Caenorhabditis elegans: one gene and its partners. The protein of the gene in region 1 purifies or fractionates together with the protein of each later gene. This does not show direct contact. Each region holds a gene or a part of one and is shown in the gene's direction. Other genes may lie near its edges.

Region 1 (3,482 bases):
GAAAAATAGTGTTTTTGTTTACGCAGAGTGACGTTTTAAAGGACCAGAAACCCTTTTCTTTTCTCTGTCTCTGTTAAAAAAGGCCTTGTTTATTTTCCGTAAAATTTTTCATTAGTTTCAACAATTTTTAAAGAAACACTTTTGTTTTAGATTTTTCTTTTTTTTTAAATTAATTTTATTCTTTATATTGATTAGACTTTCATGACCAAAATTTTGAGAAGAGTCTAGTGAGCTCCTTCCTACTCGCATTTGAAGAAAGTTTTATTATCAGCATTCAGGAAATATAATCTCTGAAAAAAAACATTCCAGAAGGACAAAATGACCACAAAGGAAGGATTTGATTATCGAAAGTTTCTTGTTGATCTCGCCTCCGGAGGCACTGCTGCAGCAATCTCAAAAACTGCCGTTGCTCCAATTGAACGTGTAAAGCTTCTACTTCAAGTCAGTGATGTCTCTGAAACAGTAACTGCCGATAAAAAATATAAAGGAATTATGGATGTTCTTGCTAGAGTGCCAAAAGAACAAGGATATGCAGCATTTTGGAGAGGAAACCTTGCAAATGTGCTTCGATATTTTCCAACGCAAGCGCTGAATTTTGCATTCAAAGACACTTATAAGAAGATGTTTCAAGAAGGAATTGACAAGAATAAAGAATTCTGGAAATTCTTTGCTGGAAATCTCGCTTCTGGTGGAGCAGCTGGTGCAACATCTCTATGCTTCGTGTACCCACTGGATTTTGTGCGTACTCGTCTTGGAGCCGATGTTGGAAAAGGAGTGGATAGAGAGTTTCAAGGTCTAACGGATTGTTTTGTGAAAATTGTGAAATCAGATGGACCAATTGGTCTTTATAGAGGATTTTTTGTTTCAGTACAAGGAATTATAATTTATCGTGCAGCATATTTCGGAATGTTTGATACTGCCAAAACATTGTACTCAACTGACGGGCAAAAACTCAATTTCTTTACGACATGGGCAATTGCTCAAGTTGGAACAGTTGGTTCTGGATATTTATCATATCCATGGGATACAGTACGTCGTCGAATGATGATGCAATCAGGGAGAAAGGATATTCTCTATAAAAACACTTTGGATTGTGTTAGAAAGATTGTGAAGAATGAAGGAATTACTGCATTATACAAAGGAGGTCTTTCAAATGTATTCCGAGCAACTGGAGGTGCTCTTGTGCTCACAATTTATGATGAGATTCAACATTTAATTTAATTACAGAATTAAAGTATGTATATGTTAATTTTGAAACAACATTGCCAATAAATTTTTTTGTTTAAAATGCATTTTTACTTTATTTTAAAAAAAAGAAGATTGTTTAAGTTTCACAATTTGAAAATGGGCTTCTATATATGTACAAGATACTAGTTTTTTACCTCAAAAAAAAATAAATTTAAAAAAAATTAAAACTTAGATATACTTTAATCAAAAACGATATTTTCCTCCTCAGAAATTTCAGAATTTTTTTGATAATATTTTTGTTTTTATTCGACTGAAAATTCCTCACTTTTCCTCTTTTCTATTTTTATTTTTCAAAAATGATGCAACGAATCAAAAAATGAATCATTCTTCAAAAAAAAACGAAACGAAAAATAGAGGAGACAGAAATAGAGAAAACGTTTTGAATCTCCGCCCACTCTTGCCCCCTATCATTCCATTTATCAGACCACCTAAATACGAATGATTTCCCAAGGCATTGCCATTCGTTTTCTTGTTGATTTGCAACTTTTCTTTTATTTCCATTTGCAAGTGATATGATAGTTCATCTTCTAAAATTAATTTTTAAAATAAGATTTTTTAACCATAATTTCAGACTAACGTTTTATTCAGACCTATTACATATCCGTTAATCTATTGAACTTTTTACCTGCTTTTCCAACTTCTTCTATTTACAGAACCATCACCATGTCTCAAGAATTCGTTGGACGCTGGAAGCTCATTCACTCAGAGAACTTCGAGGAGTACATGAAGGAGGTTGGAGTTGGATTGATCACTCGTAAGGCTGCTGCCAACTTGAAGCCAACTTTGGAAATCAAGGTCGAAGGAGATTTGTGGTATTCCAACCAATACTCCACATTCAAGAACACCACTCTTTCTTTCAAGTTGGGACAGGTAAGAAAGTGCAAAGTTTTTTACTTACAAAAGACAAAAATAATGTTATCAAAAAAAATGTGGGTTTTCTGATTCCAAATTTGCGACAAAAAAGTTACATAAAAATAAAGAAACGCACTACAAATTTATGAATAAAAATTGTTACTTCCATATTCACAGACAAAAAGTCTTAAAATTCCAGGTGATAACATTTCAAACCATAAATCATAAAATGATCATTGATTTCTTGTTATAAGACTTTGATAAACAATATGTATTTCCCATAGTTTTCGTGTTTTTTCATGCACGAATAATATTTTTTTAAAGCCATGAGAAACAATATCTGATTTCAAAATGCACGTTCGTTGATATCGGCAATTGTGGACAAAGTTTAGCGACTTTCTGCCCACAATTTGCTGTGAGCAAATTCCTGCCAACATTTTATCCTATCCATTTGAGCTTTTGGTTTGAGCAAGTTATCCCCAAATTCCAAGTAATTGTATCCAATAAAAATTGTTTCAACCCTGAAATTGAACTAGCATTCTTCAGACTTATATTTAATGTTTTTATCCCAGGAATTCGATGAGACCACTCCAGATGGCCGTACCGTCAAGTCAGTTGTCAACTTCGAGAACGGAAAATTCATTCACATTCAAAAGAAGATCAAGGACTCTGATAAGGAATCAATTATCACCCGTTGGCTCGAAGGAGACAAGCTTATCACTACTCTTGAATCTGGATCCGTTGTTTCTCGCCGCGAGTACGTTCGCGAATAGATTCTCAATTCCCAACATGAGCTTTGTTCTTGTCTTCCTGTGATATTTAATAGTAAATATTGAAATTTAAAGTATTACAATTATTTCTTTATGGCAATAAATGAGAAATATATTATCAGACTTCGAATCAAGACACTAAGAATGACTAATTGTGACGAGAAATTAGTTAATTTGAAAGCTGCTAAATTCTCATAAATCGACTTTCCTCTAAAACGCTGGAAGGCTATTGAAAAGGGGTGGAGGCGTGGCGCCCCCGTTACGCCTCGACAAGTTTATAAATAAATCTAGATACAATGTCTACAACACATCTGTTTCTAGATCATATTCATCGGTTTATTTTTTAAATAAGCTCTAAAAGTTTGACTATGTAATATATGAATGCGTAAGATCACAATGAAGAAGTCTTCCAAATGAACTTCCAATTAACATTTGTTCATCAGTGAATACAACTGATGAACTCGCCGAAATAGTTGCTCCATCGTTTGCATACGGTTCAGTTGTTACCCAAGAGTTGCCTTCTTCCTGAAACAAATGCGATTTTTGATTTTTTGACGCTTTTTCGCATTGATTAGTATTTGAATGAATTGATAAAAAACGTGGAAACAGAGT
Region 2 (6,040 bases), on another chromosome or scaffold:
ATGTTTTGCAAAAAGCAAAAGATGAAAGTTTTGTGGCGGGAAAATCAGGAAAATCATGAGTGATTGACAAACAAGCTAATTGATGAAAGATATAAAGATATAATCCATAGTGTCATAGTACTCATTCTCTTCATATCGACTATTACAAAGTGTATGACAGAATCCTCTCTCTCTCGTCGTCATTGTCATAGAGAGACCGGTTTTTCACTCCCAAGGACCTGCGTCTCTTCAGGATTACCCACTCTCTCGTCGGTTCTTCGAGGCTTGCCCAACTTTTTGACAATCTTTCGGTAGAATGGTGATGATGATGATCATCATCGAAAAATAGTTTCAAAGTAAATTGTATAGAATTAGAAAAGTAAAAGAAATGAAGAAAGTGTTGAGAGATGCTTCAAAACATGTTTTTATGGGGTGCCGCTCAGGGATTTGGGTTTGTCGGAATTTGAAGTTGAGACGGGATTTTGTTTGAACAAATCATGGTGAAGATTTTCAATTTTTCTAAAGATTTTATATGTTTCAGTCCAAGTTCTGGGGGGGGGGACACTTTGAGATGAGCTTATAAAAAAAATATATATTCAAAATCTGAAATTTCAGAAAGAATACTTTTTTTGTTTTCTGATTGCACAATTTTTCAGCCTTTCGATTGCGATTGTTTAGCTGAAATTTATTTAATTTTCTTTATAAATATACTTTAACATTCCTTGAACATTAACAAAAATTATTAAAAACTTGAAAAAACTAAAAAAAAACCAACCTCCAACCTTAAGCTTACGTTATAATTAAGCCTAAGTAGAGCTTAAACCTAAGCCTAAGTCTAAGCCTTAGTCTAAGCCTAGTCCTAAGTCTTAGACTAGGCCTAAGCGTAAACCTGAGCCCATACTTAGCCTTAGCCTATGCCTAAACCTACACCTAAGCCTAAGACTAAGCATAGGCTTGATCTTAAGCCTAAGCCTAACCCTAAAATTCTAATCTTTTTCCAACTCTTCCCCTAACTTTCTTCCTTCCCTTCAAATGACTTTCATAAATTGTGCACAATAATTATGAAAACTACGTTTTTCGTGAATGATTCTTATCATAAATGTGTCTGCAATAATGATAATCCCCTCAACTTTGCCCCAAGATGAACTGTTTTTTGCTGACAATTTTGTAATTCCACGAAGAGCACTGACGTCAGTTGGAGAAAATTGCACACGAGGCTATAAAATCGAAAGTTGGTTTCAGAAGAAAAAAAACATACTACAGGCGGATGTTGTCGTCTGATAAGAGTTTAGCAATAAAAATTCCAAATTTCTGCAGAAAAAACAATTATAGTTTTTGAGGAAAACTTTCTAAATTTTCCAGCGTGTATATATTTCCGGTAAACGTTAAAAACAAAATAAAAACAAGTTGAATCATGGCCTTGATAAAGAAAGAGAGAGTTCTTGGTGCACATATCTCGGTTATTTTCAGTGCTATCAAAAATATGTCAACTACAAAACTATAGATTATAATATGACGCATAAGTTTGTAGTTAAAATTTTTTGATTAAATCAATGAGCACAGAGATATGAGCTCCCAAACTTACTGTCAGTTTTTTCTAACATGTTGGAAGCCGTAAGACGTCGGCCGCTATTACACGTTGTTGGAATTATTGTACTACAATTTTAAAGATTCTATTTTGTTTTACATGTCCTATAAAAATAAAAGCCCCCTTGAGCCTGTAAAATGCCAGCCGCTTTTACTCAGATTGGCAGATTGAAACATTGTAGAAGTTAGAATAAATAAATTAGCAATTGAAAATCCAAATTATCAATTAAAAACTAATTTTTAAAAAATTTAAAAATGTTTCTGAACCAATTTCTCGAAAAATATGAACTCCCGCAGGTTACAACTTTTGTTTGAAGAGAGGTACGTGAAGTGCATCCCACTTATCTTGCACTAAAACAATCCCCACTTTTCTCTTGGCTGCCTTCTCCCGGATCCGAACTTGATGATGTTATCAACTTATCAGTACAGTTTCAAAAGATAGAGATTCAGACGCGACGATGGGCACAATCGGCTTAAAACATCAGATGATAAGCTGAAAAAGTGATAAGGTTATAAAAATGCGGGACAGACTCCTCCTATTCTGTCACTATATAGTCCGTATTAGGAAAAGTACGGTTTCTTCTGATTTTTATCACAAGAAGGATGGTCATGAGCAGGACACTTGTACTTGTGGCGCTCCTCGGCTTCGCATATGTTTGGTAAGTAACCTTTAGAAGGCTTCTAAGCTTTCATGCCTGCCTACCGCCTATTAAAAAATTAAAATACAAAAAACCTAAAAACAACTGTGTAGTTTCTCATTTCAGCGAATCCGCTCTGATCACAAATCTCCCTGGAGCTCCAATCTCAAACTTCAAGCAATATTCGGGCTACTACAATGTGGGAACCAAGAAGAATCATATGCTCCACTACTGGTTCGTCGAGTCTCAAAGCAACCCATCAACTGATCCAGTTCTTCTCTGGCTTACCGGTGGACCAGGATGCTCCGGATTGTCAGCTCTTCTCACCGAGTGGGGACCATGGAATGTGAGTTTGAGGGGAGCGGAAAATTGCGCAAAAAGCTAACATTTTAGCTACAAAATATTGTGGATAAATTAACATGTAAGGTAAAAAAGAGGTTCCAAAAAATAGGTTCGTGTTATTTGAAAAATGTATAGCTACAATATTCTATAGTTCCTCTGAGTCTTCGTGCCCTGAAACCCAATTACTCCATTTTCCTATATTCTTGTGAAAATATGTTTTTTTTTATTTCTAACAATACCACTATCACTGATAATATTCCGTTGTTTTTACTTCTAGTTTTCATGTTTTTTTTTCTCGCCCACCTACCGATTTTCTAGGGACACTATATATGTCAACTTTGATGGCTCTTATCTCTACCATTTTCAATTTATCAAAAACCGCCAACTACTTATAATGTGCATCACATTGTGATCTACACTTTGTAGTTTACAAATGTTTGATAAATTTTAAAATAAGCGAGATACAAACTATTAAAAAAGTATATATTGTTACCATAAAAAATTGTGTTTAAAAAAATTGCCGTTAGAAATTTTGTTTTAAATCGTGAATTTTTGAAAATGTACGACATCGAAATATTTTAAGAAAAGTTATTTCTCAAGTGACATCTAGAAACATGTCACTTTTGCTGAAATTTAAGCAAACATAAAAGGTAGAGAAGCACCTACAAAGAAGATTTATTAACAGTTTTGTTTTTCCAGGTCAACACCGACGGAGCCACCCTTCGCACCAATCCATACTCCTGGAACAAGAATGCCTCAATTCTCACCCTTGAAGCTCCAGCCGGAGTTGGATACTCTTACGCCACAGACAACAATATTGCAACCGGAGACGACCAGACAGCCAGTGAGAATTGGGAAGCCCTCGTCGCTTTCTTCAATGAGTTCCCACAATACAAGGGAAACGATTTCTATGTGACTGGAGAGTCGTACGGTGGAATCTATGTTCCAACACTTGTTCAGACTATTTTGGATCGTCAATCACAATCTCATATCAATATTAAGGGACTCGCAATCGGAAACGGATGTGTTTCAGCTAACGAGGGAGTTGACTCACTTGTCAACTTCTTGTACCATCACGGAGTTGTTGATCAGGTTGGGGCAGTTTTGAATATTTGAAAATAGGAAGCCTAAGCCTAATTCTAAGCCTGAACCTAAGCCTCATTTTAAGCTCAAACCTAAACATACGCCTAAATCTATTTTCAATAAAAAAACACTTCCAGGCCAAATGGGAGCACATGAAGACCTCGTGCTGCCACAACGACACTGATGCCTGCCCATGGCACTCGTTCAGCGAGTTCTCGGCCTGCGGAGAATTCGTTGAAGCTACCCAACAGACCGCCTGGAACGGAGGTCTCAACCCATACAACATGTACGCCGACTGCATCTCCACCAGCGCAAGCTTCCGTTTCGGAATGGAGTATGAGAGAAGATTCAATAAGAAGTACACACCAGAGGTTCTTGGAACCGTTCCATGTCTTGATGAGAGCCCAGTAACCAATTATTTGAACCGTCAGGATGTGCGTAAGGCACTCGGAATTCCATCTTCTCTTCCAGCTTGGTCGATTTGCAGGTAAGATTCTAAAATTTTGCATTGTGTAAAAACCTATATATCTCAAAATCTACAAGTGTTAAAAAAAGGTTGTCAACTAACAAATTAAAGCTCTTAAAGTTTTGCACATTTTGCCGACAACTTTTTTGTATGTCCAATAGCAAATAAGATATACCTTTTCCAAATATTTTACTCAAAATCGGTGGGCGAATTTGCCTACATGCTCCACAGTAAAATGATATTATTTCCAGTAACGCCATCTCGTACGGTTACAAGAGACAATACGGAGACATGACTTCCCGTGTTCTGAACGCCGTCAACAACAACAATCTGAAAATGATGCTCTACAACGGAGACGTCGATTTGGCCTGTAATGCTCTTATGGGACAGAGATTCACTGACAAGCTCGGTCTTACGGTAGGCTATTTTATGTTTAAAAGTTTAGAGGCGCAGATGTTTTTTAGTTTTTCGTGATTTTCAATACTACGGTACCTAGTTTTGACACGATCGATTTTTTAAATGAAAAAGGAGTGTGCGCCTTTAAGGGGTACTGTAGTTTTTTCTCAATTTAGTCTCATTTTTAGTAAAAAGTTCGAAAAACGGGAATTAAAAATTTCAAATATTTCAAAATGCATGAAATTGTGAGAAAAAATCATGAAACAGCAAAGCAAATTTCAAAATTTCGAGCTACAGTACTCCTGAAAGGCGCAAAATCTTTTACATTCAAAAAAAAATCAATCGCTTCGAGACCGGGCACCGTATTTGTTTGGGCATAAACCACAGTTTTTGCTTTTTTCAATAAAAAGATATCTATATATTATCCAGACCCAAAGTTTTTCCAAACAATACGGCGCCGGGTCTCGACACGATAAATTTTTGTTGAATGAGCGAAGCTGTGCGCCTTTAAAGAGTACTGTAGTTTCAAACTTCCGTTGCTGCGGATTTTTCATCGAAAATTATTTTTTTGAAAATATTACTCTTTAAAGGCGCACATCGTTTTGCATTCATAAAAATTGTCGTGTCGAGACACCGGGTACCGTATTTTTAAACAATAAGCTCTCAATCGCTGCGAGACCCAAGATTTTTAATGTTTTGTAAAAATTCCATAATTTAATTTCCAGCTCTCCAAGAAGAAGACCCACTTCACTGTGAAGGGTCAAATCGGTGGATACGTGACACAGTACAAGGGATCCCAGGTGACATTCGCCACTGTTCGCGGAGCCGGACACATGGTACCAACCGACAAGCCAGCCGTCGCCGAGCACATCATCCAATCGTTCCTGTTCAACAAGGCCTTCTAATCGTTAGGAGAACAATGATAATAATTTTGAAATAAATGTCTGAAAAACTGAGCTCACAAGAGGTTATAAGGTTCCAGCAATTTATAAGAATTTGGAAATTGAAACAATAAAAAAGAATAAAAAGGGAAATAAGATTTTTTGGGTGTTTTGGGGAAAAGAAGAGATGGGGGGATGGGGGATGTTCATTTTTCAAGAATTGTGATGGATTAAACAGATGTGGGGGGTTGAGGGGGAGAAGAGAGGAAAAGAAGTGGCAGCTATCCGAATAAATGAGAACTTTTTTATCTTTAATTTTGCGATCGGAAGAACTTACAAAATCACGGTGGTAGGAGAATTAAAAGAAATTAGAAAAAAAAACTTAGGGGGTTTTGTGTGTGTGAAAAAGTTGAAAACGGTCTGGAAAGGGATCGATGGGATACATAGAAGACAAAAAAAAGAGGTGAAGATTTGTGGGGGGAGTCAATTAAATTAGTGTAGAAGACGAGAAATGAGAGAAGATGATACCAGAAATAGAGAAAAAAAGAAGCTTAAATAATTATATATCGGGAGGAAATAATAATTAGAATGGATCTCATATTGTGCTTTTCTTGATGTGGGGGTTTTAGGATTAGTGATGCGCGTGGCGTTCGCTTTTCGATTTCAAA
Region 3 (5,747 bases), on another chromosome or scaffold:
GTCCAAGCTTCACTTAGAATACTAAATAGAGTTTGTTCTCAACTGAGTCTTCAGCTTTCGATTCCTTCCTGTCTTTATATAAAAACATGCGCTTCTGGGAGTAAGTTTGTTTTTATTAGATAAAAATATTATCATTCCCTTGTTATCTTTTTGTTATTGTGTTGAATAATCAAACAAGATAATTTTCATTTAAGTGTGTGAAGCGTCCGACCAATTCAGAACATTCCTACTATAACCAATGTAACAGTCTATGTATAAAGTCACATGTTACCACACATTTTATGATTTTTACGGAACTAAAGAAGAGTTTTTAGAAACTACTTGGTACATACTTATCAGAATGGTTTGCACGAAGGAAATTGGTCTTGAATTTCAATTTTCTCTGCCGCTTCTTCCAATCTCCCAGCACACCCATGTCTATGAAGCAAAACCAAATTGCGATGGAATCGGAGCAATTTTTGATATCAACTGATAATGTTCATTCGTTTCCGAAAAGTCTTAACGAGGCGAAACCATGCCGATCGCACTATTTACAGATCATATTATAACAAAAACGGTTTGTGTTTCATTATTTGATAGCACAAACTGTAGACAAGGAAATACGCACCTAGTTTGGTTTGCTGGAAGAGCATGACAAAAGAAAACAATTCTCCATAAAAGCGTCTAAAATGTAACAATGAAGATCGAAAAGTAAAAACTTGTGGCAAAGTTCTAGACTGGATAATTGATGCGACAACCAAGTGGTTTTGTTGCGTTTTTAGTCACGATTATTCCAATTCAGGCTCTCAAATGACGTCGTCACACATAATGAATGAATTATGACAAAACAGACTGCACTACTGAAGAGAGCAATGCGGAACGAGGATTCAGTGTGTAAACTAAGGTAAATCCGCGTGAACGTCGTAACTGCTTGGATTTACTGTCTATTCACTCATTAGTGAGTGATATACTTGTATTGAATGAAATTTCCTAAAGCTCCCGTCGTTACGGAATTCACGGTCAATTGAATTTACAAAAACCGTCCGTATTCAAAAACATTATTATAAAATGAATAAAAATTGAATTGTTCGATGTTTGATTGTTTACTGTTTTGGTTTTTGTTTAGATTATTCTACTTGTACTTGAATTGTCCTTTTAACATTTTAGTGAAAATAATCAAGCTTGAATGAGTTTTTTTTCAGTTTCACATGACTTAACCCTTGCACAAAGTTGTTGAGCCGGAAACTAAAGCTTACTCATTAGAAAAATTTACCTACTACCTGATCGTAGTTAGGGTTTTTACAAATAATCTTTGTGTTAAAAGAGAAAAACACGCTTGTTTTGTGAAAAGAATGCTGGTTCGAGATGTATCTGGGGAACTGAAAAACGTCGGTTCAAAAATTAGCTCAATATTATTTTTAATGGAACTTTATAAGAAAAAAACATCATCACATAAATACGAAAATCTAAATATTACCTCATTGAAATTTGAATAACAAAAAAAATGGTCAAAGACACAAATAAATATAATCTTGATCCTATTTCAGAGTATTTCCTCGTCCACCCCCACCAATCAAAAGTATATTAGGAAGCCGCGTTCTTTTTGACCCGAAGATTGGATTATAAGATTAGCAACAGAGGTGTATCCTTTCACGGAAAATTGCAGTCCATTTCAATAATCACAAGATTTCTGATTTGTTGCATTGTGTTGGTTTTCTGGGGAAGGATATACGTTTTTCTAGAACTATCCATGCCACACTTTGATTGGCATTGAAAGTGGCATCAATTGCTCTTTCGCTCTGCGATCACAGAGCTGTAACTCCGCCTCTGACAGTCTTCGGTACAGGTGCTTACGTAGGAATTACCGGGTTTTGAGATAAGGAATTGTGATCAAAGGCACGTGTAAGTTGATATAAAAGAGAGTCCAAAAGTTAGCAAACTCAGACAGCTTGTCCATCAGCCGATATGTTTGTCAAATCGCTTCTGCTCCTTTCTGTCGGTGAGTGTGATAACAAAATTAAAACTGGTTTCAGTGAACAGCAAAATTGTATAAGATCTAGTAAATCACCAGCTCAAAAGAATTAGATCAAAACCAACATGAAATTGGATTTTTAAGGTGCTAATTTAATTTCAATGTTTACATTTTCTTTTTTTTTTAGTTATCAGTTGAAAATGTTTCGATAAGTCTGAACACTGATGCGTTCAATCAATTAAAACAAAACTAGAGAAATTTTTAATTTCCATAAGGCTGGTAATATCTTCTTTTAAAAACAAAGAATGAAACGTCATTTAAAGTTTAATATCGGCTAACCAAAGATTAATCTAGACTCAACTACTCCCATATTTAGTGTTAACTCTTGTTGTTGTTTGCTTGTTTATAAAATTTTATCGGATGAAAGTTCGCTTAATATTAGCTCAAATCATTTCTCGGCTCACGGGACATCTGATTATAGGTTTACAGCTAATAGCACGTTTTGAAAGCTAAATATGTGTTTCACATTTGTAAAAAACAATAGGGAAAAGTAACAACAATTATAGATCGAAGAAATAGGAGAAAAATAAAAATAAATTGAAACTTTAAAAAAAGGCAGAGACAGCGAATAGAACTATTTCGTGATTACGGTATTTCAGCTATTGCGTACGTTTCCGCCGACTGCCTCCACTGCATCTGCATGAGAGAGTCAGGATGCAAACCAATCGGTTGCCACATGGACGTTGGATCCCTCTCCTGCGGATACTATCAGGTAAATCAAGATCAACTAGGGAATATGTGAATCTAGAAATGGAAATAGCAGAATATCAGAACACGTTTTCAATTTTGTCATGAAACCATACAAGATGTTCGGTTGCCTGTTTATTGTTTTGCCATTTAAATAAGGAAACAATAACACTTCAGAAAAATACGTGAAATTCAAAAGCTCATCTTTCATGTCTTCATTAATTGATGGTTTTTGAAATCGGCACGAAATGTTTGTTATGCCTCATTGAACAGATATTTCTTTAATGAAAATCTAGCATAATTGAAACGGTTCATCGGACCACAGCCCCCATATTTTTCACATATCTCTTCTCAAGCGAATCGGAAGTTCCTAATCAGTATGGTAAAATAAATCGCGTTGAATTTTAATTTTGAGTTTTTTCGATAAAAATGTATAACAAGAAACGATGTTTTAAATTGCTAAAACAAAAAAACCACAAAAGAGCAAATGCGTACTTTCCCGAGGAAATGGACAGGAAATGCTTTGAAAATGTTAAAACGGGATTGATTTTTGTATAGGGGAACTTTTGCATTGAAGCTAAGAAGATAAAAGGCATACTAGAAATGAAAACTTTCAAAACCATGTAGACAAGGAAATTGTATGGAACAACAACAAGGATATACAAAAATTGAACTCTACTCTATGTATTCCAGTTTTTTTTAATTTTAAATGTACCAAGACCCAACTATAAAAAGTAAAGAATAAAAATATAATATGTTTCTTTTAGATCAAGATTGGATACTATGAAGACTGCGGACAACCAACAAAGAAGGCTGGAGAGACTACTGAAGCTGCCTGGAAGAGATGTGCTGATGATCTTAACTGCGCTACCACTTGCGTCGAGGTACGTGCAGATTTAGCAACAGGATACATGCAAAAAAAATCATCAAAATTCTTATTTTGGGAAAACGGGTGTTGAGTGGGTGCAACTTTTCATCCTTAAATCGCAAAATTCCGGATAGACTGCGGCTTATTTCAGTCATGGAAGCAATTCTATCCTTTGGGAATCTCGTCATATCATTCTCAAAATTAAAAACTTCGCGACTAAATTTAGTGTACGAATTACGTGGATCGCCCACCTGAGAACTCAAATTTCTACTATCTGCCGCTAATTGAGGCAAATTAATTTAAACGTCATGTAGACAATACTGCGATGAGTAACTTTTCTGCAATTTCAACGGCGGAACTAGAAAAAAAGGAACTAGCTCAAAATAAGTTGCGAGATAATGTCAAAAATCACAGAATTAACCTGTAAACAAAAATGCACACATAGCAAACGAGCCCAGCAAAAAACGTCATTGTTAGCTTCTATGTATGGCTATAGCGGTGGCGACGTTAACGACATCAAAGACAATAAGTACTTATTGTTATCAACACCCCGCTAACAACGTGCTTACCACGCCATAAAAAGTAGCAAAGAAAGATTATGACGGCTTGAAAAGAGGTTAAAGAACTCTAATACGGAATGAATGTTTGCACTCTTCACAAAATTTATTGAATACGTCAAAAATCACATATACAAAAGAGGAAATCTAAAATTTTAAAATCTACATGTTATACAAGCATTTTGAAATAATTTCAGAACTACTACAACCGCTACAAGTCTCAGTGCAATGGACTTGGAATGGGAGCTTGCCAGGTGAGTCGCCTACGCAGTTGTTGTTTTGCTCTGGGCACTTTCAAATTGTGTAGATGAAATACAATTTAAAGTTTTCGAGTGTCTGGTAGTTTGGAGGAGGTTGCCCCCCGATTTTGATTTTTGAATTGATCAGAAGGAAACAAAATATTTCATAAAGTGATGCGAAGTTTTAGGAAAGATACAAAAATTTCCGCGAAAAAGGGGTCAGAGTTTTTTATTTAGAGCAAGAATGCTACTACGCAACTAACTATAAGAGGTTGAAAATTAAATGTCGAACATTTCTATTTTGGGTAGCAGGGGAAAACATTAATATGCCATAGTCACTAGGTAGGTGAAACGACCCTCTGGAATAGAGAAATTATTGCAGACCTGAACAGGTCTGACGTAGAAATGTCTAGAGCATCCAAGTAGTATTCCACCAAAAAATGTACATATACTTCCTGACAATTTTTGGAAAATTCTGACGACAGAAACACTACAATTTTTTCTCGATTCTTTATCTTTTAATCATTTTGGTCACACTTGAGCAGTTTTTTAACATCATTTCATTGAGTGGACATGTGTATTTGACAATTGATAATAGTGGGACTAACAATCAGAAAACTACGTAGCATTTTCAGAAGTATGTTGTTTTGTTCAAGTTAGGACAAAAGACCTTAGATTTCAATCAAGCAAATGGCAATCCATTCAATTTCAGATCATGTCCCGTAACCACAACGGAGGACCACGTGGATGCCACAACGCCAACACCTTGGCTTACTGGAACGGAGTTAAAAGCTGCTGTGGATGCTCTTAATTTTCAATTTTATCAAAATAAGAATATATATGAATCAATAAAGCTTATTTAAAATCAAAGTAGAAAGGATATCAAACTTGTTTATAAGCTTTTCAAAACATAGGTTGCGAAAAAATGCGAACGTTTTGAAAAATAATTGAGTAGGCGAAGAGGTCAGTGGGTTTAAAATGATGTCAGAGTGAACAATTTATGAGAACAAGCATATCGTTTTCTAAATTTGTAAAGGTCTAAGTAGACCACCATCTATGTCATAGGTTGTATCTTAAAATAAGTTGACCCGTTTTATGATCTAGTTTTATATTCTTTTTGCCTCTGGTGAGAATAAACAAGGCTTTCAATTTGTCTGCTCGATGATGCATGATGTTTACGATACTTTCGGATTAAAATAATCGTGAGATGGATTTGCACGAAAAGGTTGCGGAACGAACAGCTCGAATGATATTAAATGATAATCTCGAATTGTCAACAAAGTACATTATGAAGTGATAGGAACTGTTGTTCGCAGACCTGAGATGTTTTGAAAACTTGATTTTAAAACCTACGCAACCGGAAAATTAAAGATCACAAGATTTCT

Evidence for each region.
Region 2: the proteins of lbp-6 (region 1) and ctsa-1.2 fractionate together in Caenorhabditis elegans (co-fractionation; one large-scale study listed by BioGRID). This does not show direct contact.
Region 3: the proteins of lbp-6 (region 1) and ilys-5 fractionate together in Caenorhabditis elegans (co-fractionation; one large-scale study listed by BioGRID). This does not show direct contact.

The regions. Positions count from the first base shown.
Region 1 is NC_003279.8:6,727,796-6,731,277, reverse strand, and holds lbp-6 (Fatty acid-binding protein homolog 6), read left to right. Parts: upstream 1-1,901; 5' UTR 1,902-1,911; coding exon 1,912-2,118; intron 2,119-2,672; coding exon 2,673-2,873; 3' UTR 2,874-2,982; downstream 2,983-3,482. Other genes in the region: ant-1.2 (ADP/ATP translocase), read left to right, coding at 319-1,221; mec-6 (Mechanosensory abnormality protein 6), read right to left, coding at 3,237-3,395.
Region 2 is NC_003280.10:11,737,352-11,743,391, forward strand, and holds ctsa-1.2 (Serine carboxypeptidase ctsa-1.2), read left to right. Parts: upstream 1-2,006; 5' UTR 2,007-2,169; coding exon 2,170-2,225; intron 2,226-2,330; coding exon 2,331-2,550; intron 2,551-3,245; coding exon 3,246-3,638; intron 3,639-3,766; coding exon 3,767-4,116; intron 4,117-4,346; coding exon 4,347-4,512; intron 4,513-5,216; coding exon 5,217-5,396; 3' UTR 5,397-5,525; downstream 5,526-6,040.
Region 3 is NC_003284.9:6,532,975-6,538,721, reverse strand, and holds ilys-5 (lysozyme), read left to right. Parts: upstream 1-1,881; 5' UTR 1,882-1,944; coding exon 1,945-1,978; intron 1,979-2,610; coding exon 2,611-2,723; exon of another isoform or gene 2,724-3,465; coding exon 3,466-3,582; intron 3,583-4,320; coding exon 4,321-4,377; intron 4,378-5,074; coding exon 5,075-5,173; 3' UTR 5,174-5,232; downstream 5,233-5,747.